4 linked regions of the Saccharomyces cerevisiae S288C genome follow. Changing the gene in region 4 together with the main gene of any one other region gives a genetic interaction. Each region holds a gene or a part of one and is shown on either strand. Other genes may lie near its edges. The genes, in order: DFP1, FPR2, DIA1 and SPO24.

Evidence for each region.
Region 1: mutations in SPO24 (region 4) and DFP1 together harm fitness more than expected from each alone (negative genetic interaction), as found in Saccharomyces cerevisiae (one large-scale study listed by BioGRID).
Region 2: mutations in SPO24 (region 4) and FPR2 together harm fitness more than expected from each alone (negative genetic interaction), as found in Saccharomyces cerevisiae (one large-scale study listed by BioGRID).
Region 3: mutations in SPO24 (region 4) and DIA1 together harm fitness less than expected from each alone (positive genetic interaction), as found in Saccharomyces cerevisiae (one large-scale study listed by BioGRID).

The regions. Positions count from the first base shown.
Region 1 is NC_001133.9:177,087-182,548, forward strand, and holds DFP1 (DUP240 family protein), read right to left. Parts: upstream 2,735-5,462; coding exon 2,195-2,734; downstream 1-2,194.
Region 2 is NC_001136.10:1,477,090-1,482,793, forward strand, and holds FPR2 (peptidylprolyl isomerase family protein FPR2), read left to right. Parts: upstream 1-3,335; coding exon 3,336-3,743; downstream 3,744-5,704. Other genes in the region: GRH1 (Grh1p), read left to right, coding at 150-1,268; protein disulfide isomerase EUG1, read left to right, coding at 1,519-3,072; URC2 (Urc2p), read right to left, coding at 3,996-5,704. UniProt on the Saccharomyces cerevisiae protein: PPIases accelerate the folding of proteins. It catalyzes the cis-trans isomerization of proline imidic peptide bonds in oligopeptides. FKBP-13 may play a role in protein trafficking in the ER.
Region 3 is NC_001145.3:901,785-907,928, reverse strand, and holds DIA1 (Dia1p), read right to left. Parts: upstream 3,105-6,144; coding exon 2,094-3,104; downstream 1-2,093. Other genes in the region: YMR317W (uncharacterized protein), read right to left, coding at 1-565; YMR316C-A (uncharacterized protein), read left to right, coding at 1,956-2,267; YMR315W-A (uncharacterized protein), read right to left, coding at 3,536-3,643; YMR315W (uncharacterized protein), read right to left, coding at 4,080-5,129; PRE5 (proteasome core particle subunit alpha 6), read right to left, coding at 5,516-6,144. UniProt on the Saccharomyces cerevisiae protein: Involved in regulation of invasive growth.
Region 4 is NC_001148.4:644,101-646,886, reverse strand, and holds SPO24 (Spo24p), read right to left. Parts: upstream 938-2,786; coding exon 734-937; downstream 1-733. Other genes in the region: IRC16 (Irc16p), read right to left, coding at 1-51; ERV2 (flavin-linked sulfhydryl oxidase), read left to right, coding at 1-439; VMA13 (H(+)-transporting V1 sector ATPase subunit H), read right to left, coding at 1,615-2,786. UniProt on the Saccharomyces cerevisiae protein: Required for efficient sporulation.

The sequences.
Region 1 (5,462 bases), on a different chromosome or scaffold from region 4:
CAGAGAAATGTCTCAAACAAAGCTGATCAAGCCGCTGTATTTATATGAAACTTTGAACAACTACATCTGCACACATGGGCTCTTACTGGTCGCCCATCTCACACTCATGCCTTCCACATTCCACTTAGCGACTAAGTCATTATTACTATGGGGACGGGTTGTTCTTGAACGATGCTATACTTCGTATAGGAAGCCGTTTTTTTATGCCCCATCCTTTCATATGTTCCATAGCACAAGAATGTTCTCTACAGGAAAAGTGCCTATAGGGCTGCAGCTGCAGTTTTGGCCAAGAAATAGAACCAAAGCCAAATTTATTTTGGGCCCTCGTTCAAGGGCCATCTCACCCTTGGCACTAAACGGTTAGTAGGAGGGAAATCGGACTTTTCCCAAATTAGAAACAATGAAAAATTAAGTGTGAGCTCTTAGAGTCGCATCTGCAGGAATATGCACACAAAAAGGGGAGCTGTACGTAAATAATCAGACCACACAAACTATTGCCAACCATTTGATACTCACGCTAGATATGATGGGGGTTCTTGTTTGGACAACACAAGTCTCAGAGCCAGCGTAGATATGCTTGTACATAAATGACGACTGGGGCATCAATTGAATCGGGTTACATTGTGCGAGCTATTACATGAAGAGAATATGCCTTTAGGGTAATTTCCAAATGTAGGAAGTCTCGCTAAGTAGGGCGCCCAAATCTGTATAGCGATGTTGTTGAGGCCATATAGTAAAATGACGTGCCAATTACCGAGCTTTTGATGGAGGTAAAATCTAAGATTAATCTTGCGCCTTGAAACCACTAGAAATGAAAGGAATTGGTGAAAAAATAATCGCGCAATAGATGACATGGAACGACAGAAGTCTTGTATTGTGCACGAATCCGCAATATTCAAAGCCGAAGTTCATATACGAATGCGAACTATTTCTTAGGGTAGCTCTCTGTATGGGCCGCCATAAATTAGTACCAAAAGATAGGTTTTTGAAAAGGCTACAATGTGCTTTTTTCCTTCTTGCTTTCGAGTCCGGTGAACAGAATATTACGACGTCCTTGTATTAAGAGCCAGACCTCCTGTTAGCGTCACTATAAGAGTAAGTCTGAAATACGCAACAACTACAGTGCAATGAAAAAGTGCTCAACTCAATGACAATAAACAATTTAACCATGGCAGGTTAAAATATTACTGCGATCAGTAAAAATGGGGATATCACCTTTTGACACATAACATAGCAATAAAGTAACAGATCATTAGTGATCGGACAACCTGAACCAACGATATAATGTCGAAGCCACCACTACCTTTAAGATTAGTAGCGCTGCAGGGGGAGACAATGAGAGAAATTTCCCGCCACATGAACTGAGTCAGGAGTTTTTTTTTTCTTGCTGGAGAATCATTTAATTTCATGGTTAAACTCCTCTATAAGCATCCCATTCTCCCATGCCTGAAAACACTTTTGTCCATTCGATCCTCATGCAGCCCTCGTTAATATGCTAAAATGGCTCATTAAATTGTAGATTGTATCGTTCGAGAAACGTCAGGCATGATAGATGTTGCAATCACAGGACATTGATTATTTAATCCTGCTCTCAACATGTTCAATAAGTTGAAGAGTTGCTGATCTCCCCGTATATCTTATGAACCAAAGCATGGTGGGTGAATGTTATGGTTATCCTTGTTGAAAAATGATTGATAGACTGGATTGAGCGGAAAAACATGGGTCAATATGCTGATCTTGACATTTTTCAAAATCCACGGGGGATCAAATCAACTTCTTATAGCGTATGACCTCTTTTACATTGTTTAATGATGTTAAGATTGCGATATTATAGTCAGTTAAGTTACTCAAACGCACAGATTTAATAGAAAACTGCGTCTTCGTTGCCTAGTCGATCATAATAAATTCGCAGATTATTTCGAATTTGATCTCCTTCGAAATCAAGTTTATTCTCTTCACAACAAAAAATGCTTTTAACTTGAACAAAACTCGTAAACTATTTCCCCACTGTTGCTTCGGGACGACCCAGTTATTCAATATCTTGCAATGCTAATTTTTTTTGGGAGAGCAGTTGCAAATATTGCAAACACATCTAAAGCGTACCCACAATTTATGACTTCCTGGAGCCCAGAACAGCCCAAAAAAAAAAAGATGCGTTCTTTTTATACCAATATATTAGATACGTAAACTCTACTCATATTGCAGGTATGCCCACATCTGGATATTGACTTTGCCAATATTCCCGCACAGCATGGGCTTGAATTTCGGCTGCTTTAAAGAGGCACCACTTTACGGTTGGTTCAACATCAGAATTTTGAGTTGCAGCCTGATTTTCTGGAACACTGATGAACGGCTGTGTATTCGCTGTATCCCACTGTACATCAGGATATTTTCCCTTTATGAGATCCTTGAAAAATTCATAGCACTGGTGTTCACAAAAAAAGTGGTATGGTGTTTTCCATAAGCCAGCCTTGAACAAATATTGATTCATGTTATACGTTATGGTTTTCCATTCTTTCCCAGCTATCGATGGTCTATGAGTTATTACCTCTAGTAGAAGTTTTGTACGGAATGTTTCATTACTTATTGGTCTACTGAATGACCATATCTGAAGGACTACCATAGAGCCACCTAAACATATCCGGATCACCATGGCAGGGGAGAGAACACCAGAAAACCAAATGTTTGTTAAAGTCGCCAAAATCGTCAAGACAAAAAGGAGGAAATTGATCATTATATACTTGGCGCGTACAATTTCGTAAAGCAAATAACTCTGGTATGATGCAAACTCATCCTCTGGAAGGACGATATCAGCTGAGATTAAAGGACTTTCAGGGTTGTCAGGAGATCCTTCCCTCAATGGGATTGCTTTAGGATCGTCCGTGACATGAGTGTTTTTTTTAAATAAGATTGCATGTTTAACAAACGATTTAACTTGCTTTTGCTTACAAGTCAAGTAAACCTTATCCTGATAGCTTAGGAAAAATAGACTTGAATGTGTCGAACATTTCAAACCTCAATTGGTATTTTCCTTTTTTTCAACTGTACGTACATAGCTTTTCGCTTTCTTTAGCGCCCCCAGATGAAAGTATATATCGTAACAAGGATGGGAACATGAAAGGTACTGAAAAAACATCTGTATTTATTAAAAGTAAATCAAAAGCAGACTGGGAAGTTCTGTCGTAGGGATTTTTTTTTTAATGTTATGTGTGTAGGATTATTCTATTTCCTTGAATTTCTCGATCGAGATTTTTCGTACCTGTGTATTTTTGGATATAAGAGTGTTTCTGATCTATTGAGTGAGCAGGTCTCCAGCGGAATATAGAGTAGATTGAATATGGAAGAGGACTACATTAAGGCTTATTGTTAGTTAGTTACTGTTAGGACGCTTCGGCGAGCTGATGTCTGACTTCTCGTTGTATCAAAGAGCTCCCAATACGCCAGCGCATTTAAACTATGATCACGGAATGCTGGATTAGTAGTATAGCAAAAGTAACACTTGTCCACCGCAGACTCCATCACTTAGTCAACACCTTGGGTGTTTTACCGCTGATAATGGCCGTAAAATCGCCAGATATATATCATCATTGTTCTTCGCGAATAATACGTAACACAGTCTCTTTTCGAAATTTAGATGAGGACCATAGGCATGACTTATTTACTGAGATGTCCCTGCGTTAAAACTTTTACTGGCCGATTGCTAACTTTATATTTGTTAATAAAACTATTCACGCCTGTGTCCTAATTGTTGGATAATACCTAAACAATAACGATGTTGTATAGCTAAGAGGACGACCAGACAAAAAGTTATAAACTTTACCCTCGTTGAAAATGGGGCAGCCACCTATGAATCACTTCCCATTACAATGCCGAATAGCAAAATATGTAGTAGAACACGTACACGCATGATAATTACTTCCATGCTGTACTTATTTTTTGGGTGTCTCTTCAGAAAGAATGCTTTATATAACCATGTGTTTGAATTAGCGATCAGCTAATAACAAGTCAGTGTCCAAATAGTTAAAACATTGTGACCCAAATATCACAAATAAGTGGTTGTTTGGCCGAGCGGTCTAAGGCGCCTGATTCAAGAAATATCTTGACCGCAGTGAACTGTGGGAATACTCAGGTATCGTAAGATGCAAGAGTTCGAATCTCTTAGCAACCATTATTTTTTCTTTTTCCTCCTATACTTCATAATCTACGTAGGAATGAAAGTACCAACATTATACCAATGAGGGTGTGTTTCGTGGATGCATATACTCTGAAGATAAAAACAAACTCAAGTCCGCTTCCTACGGTTTGAGTATTTCTTACCACTACATAATAAAGAATATTACGTTAACTGTAAAATCAAGTAGACTTGGAAAATACAACGAGAACACTTTCCTGATTCTGCATCAGCGTTTTCTTATCACCAGCTGTACTTCTACATTAGCTAACTCTCCTTTCTATAAAGGGCGTCTTTCACTTCACTTGTGCCATGTTACAAAGCTCCAAACGCACTTCTAACTGAGTACAATGCACGATCCCACTGACAGACAAAACAGCTTCACAGAATTTGATCATGCCATCGTAAAAACCACGTAGTAAGGAATAAAAAATCCCGAAGTCGATCATACTATGTAGAGATGTACATGAATAGTCTAGGAATCTGGTCTTCCAGCATGTTGCTTTGGTCTGCTTCAAGCGCTATGGAAGCGCTCGCCATGAGATATGCTGTTTCAAGGCAAAATAGCAAAGCTCTTTGTAAAGAAATACAATTCAGAGAAGAAGCTACAGCATTTTGTTTCTGGATGATCCCTGCAGGTTCATACTACTAAGTAAATCTTGAACAGTTCAAATTTCAACAATTCAGAAACCGCTCTTTTTATATATACTCTACCAAACGAGATGAAACAGCATTTTTTTACTCTTATAAGGTACCAATATTTTGACGTATGCTTTCTTTAACGTTCACGATCGGGCTGGGCCATTAAACTTACCTTAGATATTATTTGGAACAGCACCGCAAGTGCTGATGTCCCAGAAATGGGCGCCGGTTCAATTAGGTCGTGAAGTCAGACATATGGAGACTCTCGGACTGAAAGCACTAAGGGATGATAGCTGGCATGCCAATTCCATTTTAAATTTACACATCAAGTTACAGGGTTTGGGAAAATCACGTTCAAAGCCTGAAAATTTGAGGTTGTTCACGGAAATCATTTGGTTATGTCTGTCGGCCTGCTATTTAGAGACATTTTTTATTGCAACAACCTACTCTATGCACTTACACGGAATCGCAGAATAACGCGCGCACAACACAATTGGGAAACGATAGGATTTTGAATAGTGTATTGCTTTGTACCGATTTAAATAATTCTTTCTCGTGTTGAATCCGAGTTGAAGATGAGTATGCTTTGAAGAGGTGAAATATCATCAGTAAAAAAAAATAACGACAACTGCAGGACTCGAACCTGCGC
Region 2 (5,704 bases), on a different chromosome or scaffold from region 4:
AGGTTTAGTTGCATTTTGGCTATCATAAAAGAAATGGGCTTGTCGCAACGGGATCAGGACCAAGAACAGGGGTGCTGAGACTACTACTGTAACTGCGACCGACACAGCGTGCGAAACTAGGGAAGTAAAAAGGTATAGGAAGAAGAACTATGTTTAGAATAGCTAAAAACCTCGTACGGACTTTTGAGCAGAGCGTGCAAGATACCCTGGCACTCTCGCAGGACTCGAGCAATCTGGACGCTTTCTTTCAGTCTATACCACCAAATTTGTTGTCTGCTCAGTTGGAATCACCCGTAGATGCGGTTTCTGAAGGTGTTAAGCACACCAACGTCAATGAAACGCTTTCCGGTCTCCGCATTGTTTGGGTGGACGAGATGCAGTTCCAACTGCAGTCCTTTTTCGACTATATAGTAGGTTTCAATGATGATCCGGTGCCGGTGGTCAGTAATCAACACGGATTTTCGTACCCAGATTACCGTCGTATCACATCCATCTTCAATGAACACTGTGGCCGAACTTTGAAGGTCAACATATGGTCAGCTAAAGGAGGCACGTTCAGAGACGAGTATATCAGCATTATATCGAAGGAGAGCGACGATTTGGACGATGTTTCTCTAAACCATGACGAGAGGAGGCCATCTAGTGGGGAAGCGCACCAGTTCCAAGCACTCGGGTTCAAAGTCCAATGGACGCCTTTGATAGCTTCCACTTTCACATACCATATCCTGAACGTGAACATCCCAGATGGACCCGCCCAATCGGCAGGGCTCATCCCAGATGAAGACTACATTATCGGCTGCCAAGATGGCCTGTTGGCCACGGGAGGGGAGACGCTTTTACAAGATATTGTTAGATCAAGAGCAAACTACGATCTGGTCCTTTATGTCTACAACAAAGTTTCTGACTGTGTGAGACCAATCACAGTTCATATAGGTCCCGACGGCAGGTTGGGTTGCAACGTTGGATACGGGTTTCTTCACAGGATTCCAACAGTAAAGCACTGTCCACAACAAGCACAGCAGCAGGGGCAAGATGACAACCCTGTTCCTGTTCCTGTTCCAGTAGAATCTGAGACGGCTTTTGTGCCATCAGCATTCACAGCACCACCGGTGCCAACAAAGAAGAAATCAAAAAATAAAAAGGGTACCCAGCCATTGGCAATGGATGACTATTTTAATGAAGGCAGAGATAAGTCATCTACCGCTGCGAAGTCAGCAGAATCTGACATCCTCGCCCCACCACCACAAAAACAGTCATCCTCTGATTAACTTTCCTGGTTAGTCTTTTGGTTTTGTTTCATAGCAAAATTAAATATATATATATAAGCTTGCTTTCCCTTCAAAACACGTAAACGATAGTTGGCAATGTACGAAAAGTACCGAGACTTTTTTTCAAAGGCACGCGTGTCCTTTTTTGTTAAGACAATAGATATTTTAGCATTCAGAAAGTTTCAATTTCCAAGACTTGACGTTTCAATTATATGGCAATCTCCCAACAAGCACCCGCTCATATAATACCATGCAAGTGACCACAAGATTTATATCTGCGATAGTCTCGTTTTGCCTGTTTGCTTCTTTCACGTTGGCTGAAAACAGCGCAAGAGCTACGCCGGGATCAGATTTACTCGTTCTAACAGAGAAGAAATTTAAATCATTCATCGAATCTCATCCGTTAGTCCTCGTCGAGTTTTTTGCTCCATGGTGTTTGCATTCTCAGATCTTACGCCCTCACTTAGAAGAGGCCGCCTCTATTTTAAAGGAGCATAACGTCCCAGTTGTTCAAATTGATTGTGAGGCTAACAGTATGGTTTGCCTGCAACAAACTATAAATACCTACCCAACCTTGAAAATCTTTAAAAATGGTCGTATTTTTGATGGTCAAGTCTATCGCGGTGTCAAGATCACCGATGAAATCACTCAGTACATGATTCAGCTATACGAGGCTTCTGTCATTTATTTAAATTCCGAAGATGAAATCCAACCATACTTGGAAAATGCAACTTTACCAGTAGTAATAAACAGAGGCTTGACAGGCTTGAATGAAACGTATCAAGAAGTCGCACTGGACCTTGCTGAGGATTACGTCTTTTTATCCCTTCTAGATTCAGAAGATAAGTCATTATCAATCCACTTGCCAAACACTACAGAACCAATTCTGTTTGATGGAAATGTAGACTCTTTGGTCGGAAATTCCGTTGCTCTAACTCAGTGGTTAAAAGTGGTAATTTTACCTTACTTTACCGACATCGAACCTGATCTCTTCCCCAAGTACATTTCTAGCAATTTGCCGTTGGCTTACTTCTTTTATACTTCTGAGGAAGAATTGGAAGATTACACTGATCTTTTCACGCAGTTAGGTAAGGAAAATCGTGGCCAAATAAATTTCATTGCATTAAACTCTACAATGTTCCCACACCACGTTAGATTCCTAAATATGAGAGAACAGTTCCCATTATTTGCTATCCATAATATGATCAATAATCTGAAATATGGTTTACCACAACTACCAGAAGAAGAGTACGCGAAATTAGAAAAACCACAACCACTAGACAGAGATATGATCGTTCAGTTGGTAAAAGATTACCGTGAAGGTACTGCCAAGCCAATTGTTAAGTCAGAAGAGATTCCAAAAGAACAAAAGTCCAATGTTTATAAAATAGTTGGGAAGACACATGACGACATTGTTCATGATGATGACAAGGATGTCCTTGTCAAATATTACGCGACATGGTGTATTCATAGTAAAAGGTTTGCGCCTATTTACGAAGAAATTGCAAATGTCTTAGCATCTGATGAATCTGTTCGCGATAAAATCTTGATCGCCGAAGTAGATTCAGGGGCAAATGATATCTTAAGTTTTCCTGTGACAGGATATCCAACCATTGCTTTGTATCCTGCCGGAAATAACTCTAAGCCTATTATCTTCAATAAAATTAGAAATTTGGAAGATGTTTTCGAATTTATCAAGGAATCAGGTACACATCACATTGACGGCCAGGCAATTTATGATAAATTGCACCAGGCCAAGGATTCTGAAGTGTCTACTGAAGATACCGTACATGATGAATTATAATCAATAAATAAAGCATATATAATGCACATTTTTAACATCTGATTACTCGCATCGTTTCTGGAAGAAAATAGCTAATATTCGTTATTTATGGCATCACGATTATTCTCACCAGTTACCCGTTTATGCTCTTGAAGAGATTTAGCATTACTGCCAGCGCATCTTCAAATACAGGTTTATATGAGACCCATTACTATAACCCTAAGAAGAGAAAAAGGAGTGCTTTCGTTTTCAATCACATTCTAGTTTACAGTAATTGAGTCTCGATGATGTTTAATATTTACCTTTTCGTCACTTTTTTTTCCACCATTCTTGCAGGTTCCCTGTCAGATTTGGAAATCGGTATTATCAAGAGAATACCGGTAGAAGATTGCTTAATTAAGGCAATGCCAGGTGATAAAGTTAAGGTTCATTATACAGGATCTTTATTAGAATCGGGAACTGTATTTGACTCAAGTTATTCAAGAGGCTCTCCTATCGCTTTTGAACTTGGCGTTGGCAGAGTAATTAAAGGTTGGGATCAAGGTGTTGCCGGCATGTGCGTTGGCGAAAAAAGAAAGCTGCAAATTCCAAGTTCTTTGGCCTACGGAGAAAGAGGTGTCCCAGGCGTCATTCCTCCAAGTGCTGATTTGGTGTTTGATGTCGAATTGGTAGACGTGAAATCAGCCGCCTAGGTAAATTGGCACTCAGGCACATATCTGCAACAAGATGCATGGAGTACGTATGTGGCAAACTTTTTTTTATAGTTGAAAATATATCCATATGAGGATGCCAGCCATCATGTCAAGTTTCAATGTAATTATGGTTGTGTATATTATGTTTGCAGCAAAATAAAATAAAAGGGCTCTAACTACAATATATTAATATAAAGAAATGTTATTCAATCTAGTTTGGGTATGAATTTTTTCCCTCTTAATAAAAATAGTTTAAGTAGTTTGTTCAGTCTTCTTATCGCTGGTAAACATTTTTTGGGAATTTGGTTTTAAACTATCAAAAAAATCCTGAAAAAAGTCTTCAAAGGAATTGAATTGGTCGACGTCAGGAATCATGAAGTGACTACTGGACAAGTTCTCGTGCAAAGTACCAACATTAGTAGGCGAAGTAGCGGGTTTCGCGGCGTGCAGATTTCCTGCTCCTGTGTAGTTATTAGCATTAGTCGACATTTTATCATTATCACTATTCTCTTTTGACAAACTGCCAAAATTAATACGAGTCTTACTAGTATCAATTATAGATTTTATGATTTTTCCAACGTTATCAGTAGCCTCATTCATTTTTTCCCCTATAGTGCTCAAATGCCAGTACACTTTTGTACAAAGACTCAAAACGCGTTGACGTTCAGAAGAATCGAACCAATAAAGATAGTCACAAAGAGTTAAACAGGCGTAGACTAGTTGATGACAAGTAAAAATCGGAGCACCCCTTATTAACGTTGGCGGTAGTCTCAAAAACCCATTCAACAGCGAAAATGAATGTTCTTTCATCGTATTAAGAATTAGTTTCAAAAACCTTTGGTTGCTTTTTAGCGTGGAAGAAAATTCTGTGATAAAAGTGCGACATATCATGATATGATAAAAATCAAATGTGAACAATAGCACGCCCGCGCCATCCTTTGCTAAAAGCTCTTCCCAATTTTTCAGCCAATAATTTAGCTCTGGAAAAACAAAGATAAAAGTATCTGCGTTACCTCCATATCTGTCATTGTTAAAGTCATCCAAACACTGCGCAAAATAATTTTTAAGGTTTATAAAGATGCCATTTACGATGTCACCTAAATTTATCTCACTGATTTTAATGTCATCACCAAAATTCGCCTGAGGAAATTTCGCCACAAGTTTATTAAACTCTTTAAGCATATCATCCTGTTCCCTAATATCGCCGTAACTAATGGAATATTCTAAATAGCAGGCAGTTAGTGAATTTAGTATTCTTAGATGATAAAGATCTTCGGGATTATACACTTCTTTTACCAAAACCCTATCCTTTATCTGATAAAAATCTATTACATGTAACAAGCTATTGAGCGCAAAATTGCTTAGTACCAGAGAATTAAACTTCAGTTGCCTATATCTCTTTGCCTTTCGCGAAATATGGAACATACAGCAATATAAAATAGCCTCAATATCAAACGCTGTTAACTTTTCAAACATGGTTAACGTATTAGTGAGTAATCTCTCCACTAAAGGATACAATATTTCTTGTTCTGCAGCGTATTTATCGTTGTCAGCAAAACTCATAGCGATAATAGTAAAAACACTTGTAATAAATAGGTGTGAGTGGGCATATTCCACGTCTATCTCTTTTCTCCCACCTGGAATTATCCAGAAATGGGATCTCACCAGAAATTCTTTTGCAAGCTTATGGCATAATTCCTGATTATTCTCATAAAAATGGAGAAAGTTCACTCTTGCAACAGCATATGGCCTTTGCTGTCCAGCTAGCTTCGCAGCTTTAGATGTAGCCTTCGATGGAAATAGCCTCTCATCAATATCATGTAGCAATTTTAAAGGAGATTCCTTCAACTTAAATCCATTTAAGAAAAGATTTTCTTTTCTATATTCCCCTGTTTTCCTTATCGTCTCTGAGCCCGAAGTTAGACGACTATCGTACGTCTTATTTGAGCTGAAATCCACGT
Region 3 (6,144 bases), on a different chromosome or scaffold from region 4:
TGGTAAATGTGGAGGATGTGACTGCAGTTGTATCAGAAGATGAAGCAGTAGTTTCAAGGACAGAGGACTTTCCCAATGGCTCCGAAGAGGAACCACCTCCATTTGATGAACTGGTTTGCGGGGAAGATGTTTGAATAGCACTACTACTTATGGAGTCAGTCTCTGTAGTGGAGCTGGACAGTTGTGCATTTGTGGAGGAAAGCGCACTGTATGAGTTTGAGGGGCCAGAGGTTGATGATTCGACATCGTTGACTGATGTACTAGAAATATCGGATGATGTGTAAGAAAGAGAAGAAAAAATGGAAACCAATGACTCCGATGATAGAATTGAGGCAATTGTATCAGAGGAGAGCGACGAGCTAGAAGTAAACTCGGGTACAACAGAAGAAACTAATGTGCTAGAACTACTGACAATAATTTCTGGGCTAGTTGTAACTTTAGTGCTTGTCGTGCTTGTCGTGCTAGTGGTAGTAGGCGTAGTTGTACTGGTTGTGCTACTAGTAGTAGTCGTGCTACTATGCGATGTGGTAGTGGCTGTGGTCGATTTTGAACCAGATGAACCCATTTTGATACGGCGCTACCCTTTCTTGTGGATACCTTTTCTATGACAGAATCATTGACAAATCTGAGGGAACAAAATTACCACAGGTGTGAGTGAGACTTTATATAAAATTAATATTTCATTTTTAGCTTTGTTCCACTTGAGAGGAACATGGGCAAAGATAGAGACTAAGAAAACATGTTTTCAGAACTTTACTGTTGACTGCTGAACAGTCTTAGCAAGATGCTTATTTTTACGTGAGTTCTAAGTCGCCGTGGACTGACACCTTCGCTAAATTCACAGGCAATGATCGCAAACGAGCTTCATGAAAAAAAGTTTATTTTGGATCAGATCTGCGCATGGTCCAGAAAATTCGCCTTAACGAAAGGTACACAATTTTGCATTAAATGTCAAAAAAAATAGAATATGCGATACAATTATACCTGAGATGAATTTAGTAAAGTAGGTGCAAAAGATGGTATAATACTTGAGCTACATCTGGGAAACTAAAGCACATTTTACGTTCAAAGCGAATAGTAAATTAGAGAGAACAGTTGCGCGTGGAAGGCACGGGCACCGCTAAATCTAAAGAAATTACATACTATTTCATTCTTGCTGTCATTTTTTCCTCATTAATCACCACTTTTAAGCAGGATATAAGAATAAAAAACTCGATTTGAATAAAAACTATGCTTTCCTTGGTACATACGTCCTTTTGAGTACATAAGTAATGTCAACTGTGTAGGAAAGAGGTGACGTCCTAGGCTCGGCTGTGTGATATTACTTTTTAGAACCTTTTTGATAGAGGCTAAATGGTAAGGAAAGTTAATTTTATTCGAATTTTGGGCCACCTCTCTTAGAAAGGATTACTGCTAACTTCATAGTGTCAGATCACTCGTGTTTGTTCTGAATAATGAGGCAGGCGGTATACGAAAGAAGATATCCTGCTTATTTGGCTCCTATTGTTCAATTAATTAATCGATTGGCCAACGACTTTCCTATCGTATAGAAGAAACTGTTTGAAAAAAGATGGCTTATCCAGGAAGGCGCCTGAACAAGTTCTTGCTTCCCACAGTAAAGAAAAATCAAAATGGCCGCCATAGCGGTGCAGGAAGGTCTTGCCTATCGAGGATATTGTTTTTACTCCAAAAGGAAAGAGGAAAGTTAACAAAATCAACTTTTCAAACGGAGAGTATAACACCCGGAAGTTAAAAACTGTGAGGAAGATAAAAAGAAATCTTCACGAAGTTTTTTCCATTTTGGTGATCTAATGAAGTCAGCTATCACTTTTTTGCGCTACGGGCTTTATGTGACGCAATAGCCCGTGCCACTTTAAACTTTTTTGTGCCTTGGCACCTTTGGCAGTATACGAAGAAGATCAATTAAACAAGAACGACGAGATCTCGGACAAGATATGACAGGGTTTAAAGTTTCTTCTTTTTTTTATATTCTGGCATTGTCCCGCTTTTTCAACGCAGGAAGGGAACGAGCTTGTGATAAGTTAAAAATTACAGTTACACATCTATACTGGTTTATTATACGCAAACTTTTGTTACATGAGGTTCATGTTCATGTTAGTCGTGTTTGCAACGTTTCTTTTATTTTGTCTCCTTGCCTCTTTCGCAATTTTTTTACGTTGTCTCTTCATGTACTCTATGTAATGTATGAGCAGGCTCTGACACCCGAGTTCTTCCGTCAATGGTGGGATATTATTCAATCCAAATGATCCTTGATCTGTGGAATACTCGCCAAGAATTAAGTGGCCCTCTTGAGCGACCCACCTAAAAAGAGATGTTTCAAATTCTCTAGTATAATGAGCTGCCACGAACCTCTGAACTTTTTGATCCTTTTGGTCGATGGACATCTTATTTTTAGCGGCTCTAATGACATCTTCATCCAAACGATTCACTTCATAATCTGCTAACAGAATTAATTTATAATGATCGTTGGTAACTACGGGCGAATAAGTGACATGCCACCTGAGATTTAAATTATTCACTTTAGTGTCCAAATCCCTGTGTCCTTCTCGGTGAGCCATTGCTAGTAAGTTGGGCTCCGTAGACGTAGTCCCTACGAAGCTGTAAGTTACGTTTGCTTGGCTGACATTTTTATATATGTCGTAAAGAGGCACTTTATACAATATTAATCCGTTGTTTGAGCAAACGATTTTTGCCACAGTATAAGGCGGAGGTTCGTCTGCCGTTCTTAAAATAAATTTGAAAATTTTATAATATGGGACATTGCCGACCACAGTATTGCTATGACCTCTTTTACCAAACGGTAGAGTGCAATTGATAATTTGGAATAATGGAATACCAATTGCATCTGGACTCAGCTCATTCGAATACTTTTTAGTGTTTTCAAAATTTTCAAGCGATTGCTGAGACGGAAACATGAAAAACCCATCCTCGCCGTTTATCTCGGCTATGGGCATTCTTCTTTCCCTATTAAAATGAAAGCACTCTGGGACACTTTTGCTATCGGACATTTCAATCTTCAATCTCTGCTCATCTTTAAGCCCATCTGCTGCTTTCTTAAGAAGGTATCTACTTATTGAACCCATAATCAGATTTTTCTTGAAAAACTTTTAATGGAAGCTTAGCACCTGCTTCGGTCTTCTTTATCTTGGCGAACTTTGCCAAATCTGTAGTTGTTTCAAATACTGTCATGTTGGCAGTCTTCTTTTTATATGCGTTCACGCCGATGGCCAAGCCTACAACATTTTCTCAAAAAGGGACCATTGTCCCTTGCTGCGCCAAAAAAAAGAAATAGGCGCATACGTTCCGTCATCTATCGCTCACAAAAAGTGGAACCGGTAGGATTTTATCACTGACACATACCGTTGTACTAAGAGAGCAATTAAGTCGACAACGCAATTGATATGCGCTCTTCGTTATCGAACCCTAGCGGTGTATTTTTCGGACAAACTTACTGTTCATTATGGCCGAATGCTTACCTAAAACGACACTTCTGGTCGTTTTCAACTCTCATGCTCTAAGCAATTAGGCTTTTGGGGCGAAGCGGACAAGCTCTTAAGGCCGTGAATAAAGAAAGGGAGATGAAAGGACGCCGTAGCAGCTGCAATAGCTTTCTTTCGGTCATCAAAAATCCCAGTGAATTCTTGGGGGACACTTGTGGGGTTGCATTACTCGAAATGCTTCGGACGAGTACCTGATTCGTTAAACATATATATATCTCATGGTGAATTGGAAACGGTTGTAGATCTTATATAGGAAAAGTCATTCATAACTAGTTCCATGCCGACTAAGTATTTCGTCCAGGCTCGGCGTTCTTGTTGAACGAATTTTCCCATAATCATCCAGATTTCCAAGAACCTCGCCTTCGTAACATTTTGCAACAACAAGTGGATGGAGAATTTTGGCTATTTTTAGTTCAAGAAAACTTAGAAATTTTTCAACGGTTTTTTATCTCGTTAGTATTATCATTCCAAAAGTATACTTATGTGGGTACATAGTTATAAATATATGAGGGAATCTATCTATTAAGGTTAAAAAAGCGTTACATCGTAAAACGGTAATCATGGCTGCTCAATTTTAACGTAGTCACCATTCTTGGCAGAAGATTTTAAAAACGCGTCCACACAAGCCAAATGGTGAAATGCAGTTCTGGGTGTGCCTAGGTATAAGGATTTGTCCTTCTTGCTGACAGCTTCGTGAAAATTCAAAAATTCAGCGTTGACGCCGAAACTTTCATCATTATCGACTTTAAAAATTTGTTCGTCACCGTTATCTTCAGCTGAACCCCCTAATTTGACTTTTACAACGGGGTCTTTTTTGTCTGATAAGTCAACGGTAACGGTACCATTCTTACCATAGACTTTCAAGAAAACCGACTTTTCGGTAGCACCAAAGGCAGACCCATAAGTAAAACTTCCGATAACCTCTTTATTTTTCAACTGGACAGTAGCAAAGACAATATCATCTGCACCGGAACGTTCACGCACCTGTCTCGTTAATGCAGAAACAGATCCAAATTCACCGAGTAGGGAAATAACGAGAGCTAATTGGTGGACACCACCATCAGATAGAAATCCGCCAATGTGCTCTGGTTTTTGTCTCCAGGTTGTGGTCAAATATTTATTTTGAGTAACAAATGGACCGGTAGAATTGTGGGTGAATGCTACTACAGGACCAATTTTCTCGATCTGCTCCTTTGCGATTTTAATACATGGTAAATATAACCAATTTTCAGCCACACCAACGGGCAATGGGGTGGATTCTGCTATCTTGACAATCTCCTTTGCTTGGTCTAAGTTGGCCGCAATTGGTTTTTCCAAAATAACTGGCTTACCTGCTTTAACTGCCTTCTCGACAATATCAGCATTAAATTGAGCAGGTAGCAAAGCGTCAATGTAGTCGACATGAGGGTCATTCAAAATTTCATCTAGATTGTCGTAAACCTTATTTTCAGGTATGTCAGCAACCTTTGCAAAATCCAAAGCTTTTGCCTTATGTCTGTTGAAGGCGGCAATGACTTTGAATTTGTCAGGAAATTCCTGGTAGGATGGGAGATGTCTATCTCTGGCAAAAATACCTGTACCAACTATACCGACGTTCAATGGGGACATTTTTGGCTATTACTTTACTTTTTGGAACCAAGAAGTGATTATGGGTCTATTCGATGTACAGAAACAAATAGGTTTGAGCGAGTTCGAAAGTTTATCCAGAATAAGTAGTTCTTTTTATAGACGAACACCTATGTATTGTGATACATAATCATGCTGAATTTTCAACAGGGGATAACTCCGTTTATTCCCCGGCGGAGGGCGGAATTAAGCGGGGTTATTAGTTGATTTGGAAGCCACGTCTTTTTTAATTTTGAATGAGAAGTGAGACTACGTACTAAGTTAATCTATTATTATCTTTATATGTAAAAAAACCCCGACCGTGGTGAAAGGCTTCTTTGGTCTTGCTTTGACAATTGCTTAGTGGAAACGATACTTTGTGTCCAGACCTAGATGTATTTAGCAACAGCTTCTCCATCGTAAATTGTAAAAGGCGTATCCTTACCCACGATGGCGATTGAAAGATTGTCTACAGTCAAGGATTCGTCCCTTAGAGACTGGCTGATAGCCTCGACGCCAGCTTTGATTAGTTCATCCGGGTTCCCGTCAATTTTTATAAACGTGTCTAAAGTTCTCTCTAGATAAGTCTTTGCCCCTTGGCTTCTTGCGCCAATAGCTGTACCATATAGTTCTGTGACATTTCCGGAAGGTTGGAATTCTAAAAGATGAGCACCGCTCTTGTCATACCCGATGATCAACAAACCAACACCGTAGGGTCTGCCCCCATAGGATTGTGTATTTTTCTGTGCTTTATCGCAAAGCAAATGACCTGCTCTCTCGACGGCAAGCTTTCTGTTAAAAACTAAGCTGGAGTAATTACACTGTTGTCTCAAATAATTACTTAAAACTCTAGCATCTGGAGCCAACCCGGCTAACGAGAGCCCCATGTGCTCGTCACATTTGATGATTTTTTTCTGGTATGATGACAATTCGTCTGCATTTCTTTTCAACGCTACTAAAACAGCATGAGTGTTCGAACGTAACCCCACAGTGACGCTCCCTTGTTTAATAGCTTCCA
Region 4 (2,786 bases):
GGCTGCTGAGAAGAACGACGCTCGGTTGAAAGAGATCGAGAAGCAAACCATTATGCCATTGATGGGCGATGACAAGGTGAAGAAGGAAGTGGGCAGGGCGTCGTGGAAGTACTTCCATACCCTGCTGGCCCGTTTTCCGGACGAGCCTACTCCTGAAGAAAGAGAGAAACTGCACACGTTTATTGGGTTGTATGCAGAACTCTATCCATGCGGGGAATGTTCATATCACTTTGTAAAGTTGATTGAGAAGTATCCCGTACAGACATCTAGCAGGACGGCTGCCGCAATGTGGGGATGCCACATTCACAACAAGGTGAACGAATACCTAAAGAAAGACATATATGACTGTGCTACCATCCTGGAGGACTACGATTGTGGATGTAGTGACAGCGACGGTAAACGCGTGTCTCTCGAGAAGGAGGCTAAACAGCACGGTTGAACAAAGAAAGATTACATTAATCAATTATAGTAATAGTAAATTTTTTATTATTTTATATTTTAAATTTTTTTACTTTCTCAGTATTTATATTACATAAATATGTATATATCAAAAAGTTTCTGTCGTAGAAGAGACCCGATCCGAGGTTATTGAATGTAAGTGCGGGAAAGTGCAGATAGAATGACAATGAATGCTCCGGAAAAAAAAAAAAAAGTACGTGACTTACTTGCCCAAGTAAGTAAAGATGCCAAGTGTCTTTTATGCTAATAGTGTGCTAATTCTCGTGTACAACACTTACAACAGAGACAAAGAGTTTTTTCTGGAGTGTGAGCGGCTTGAAGCAGAGGCATCCAAAAGAGCGGCATTGGCAATAGCCAGATTCAGGTCATCGACGTTTGCGTCAGAGTTCTTTCTTGAGCTTGGCTGAGAGACTGGCGAAAGAGATGGGATGACAAAAGGTTGAGAAACGTCAGAAGTTAGTTCTAAAAAGGCGACCATTGTTGAAATTTTTGTTTTTTGTGTTATTTGTGTGAGTTGTCAGTAAAGCTGTTTTGTAGTTGCTTGTTTGATGATGATTTTTTATATTTTACAAGGACTAGAGGAAACAATTGTGAGAGTTGAGCTATTGGAGAAATCTAGAGACCTTATATATGTGTCTGTTCTTCATGCTAATTGAGCCCCCTCTAAAGTTCTCTTACGTTATAGAGCGTCATGACAACGATTGATCACGCAGATGACTAACCGCCAGTCACAGCGCATATTAGCGCGCAAATGAAAAGAATGACCGACCCGCCGCGGAATCGATCTCGGATTTGCGCGGGGACAGCCACACCCACCTTCCGCGGACCTGCGGAGGGTGGTTTTCGGCAGGCGGTTCCCGGACACCAGGAAAGGGGCGCCCATTAATACCCGACTTCGGCGGCCACCGAAGGCTCAGGGGCGGGGAGGAGGCGTCATGAAAAAGCATGATTCACTGCATTACCAATCACGCACGCACGCAGTCGGTGCACGCAGCGCAGGCCGGGTGCGTGAATGACTGATTCTGCTACCCTCTTCTGGTTCGTTTCTTTTTCTTCTTTTCTTTTCTATGGATGTTCTTCTCTTAAAATAATAGTACGTACAAAACTACTTATTTAGGCTTCAAACCCACTACTACTTTACGGTCTTCTATATCTTTATTTGAAGGTATATCCAATGATTGCCTGCGTGGCCTTGAGGGCCTCGTATTTCACCCTAGAATCTGAATGGTTCAGCAACTCCATGATGTCGGCTTTGCCGCCAGTCTTGTCGAGAACGTCGATGCTCTCTGGTAGAAGCTCGACCACGTGAGTGATGTCGTTCAAGGCGACTTGGATAATGATCTTTTCTTGTTTCGCGTTGACGTCGCCGTTACGGACCTTTGCTTGCAAGAGTTCGATCAATTGTCTAAAGATCTTGTAGTTGTCCTTCTTGAACTCGTCAATGTTATCGGACCAGAAACCGTTGTCGACATGTGGTGGAGACCAGCACAGCAACTTGGAGTCCAATTCGGCGACGTATTCATCGAAGGAGGTCAATTCTTGGTACTCGTTTTCTAGGATTTCCTTGAGGTTGCTGATGTCTTGACGCAATTCTTCGTCGGAATACTTTCTTTCGCTCAAGCTCTGTACGGTGGGCAACGCGTTGCCGAGCAACAAAAGTTGCTTAATCACCTTCTTGTGCTGCTTGACGCGCGTGGAGCAACATTGCAGGATGATGGATATGCACAATCTGGACACTTTCTCCTTTATGGTTATCTTAACCAATTTCAAGAGGTCCAAGAAATCACTCAAGTATTTCTGGACTAGCTCGTTTGCAAAAACTGGGTTAAAGGTCAGCAACCATATCAATAGTAAAGAGTGGTACTGCAATTGAATACCCAGGTGGTTGGAGTTTGTTGCAACTATCCGCGTGGCCAATTGAGAGTCCGTGGCACGTTGCAGGATCTTGAATAAGGTGGGCATGAACTTCTTCTCATGCAACCATATCACGTCACGATACTCTGGTATCACGGCCAGTTCTTGCAATAGTCTGATGCACACGTAACAAGTGTCCATCTGCTCAATGTTTTGCAAGATATTGATCAAGTTGTTGTTTTTCAACAGCTTTTCCACTAGTTTCACATTGTGCAACCCATTTTGCACTAAGAGTGAGACCACGTTGAACCCAGAGATTAGCACAGTCTGGAAGTCTCCCTTGAGTGACACATCAAATAATTGTTCCAATTGCTTGGGGTCTTCTTGGAAAAACTTCACGGTATCGTCTCCATACTTGTCAGACGATAACAATTCAGCTATTAGGTTCTGCACAGATTTTTTGCAGTCTTCGT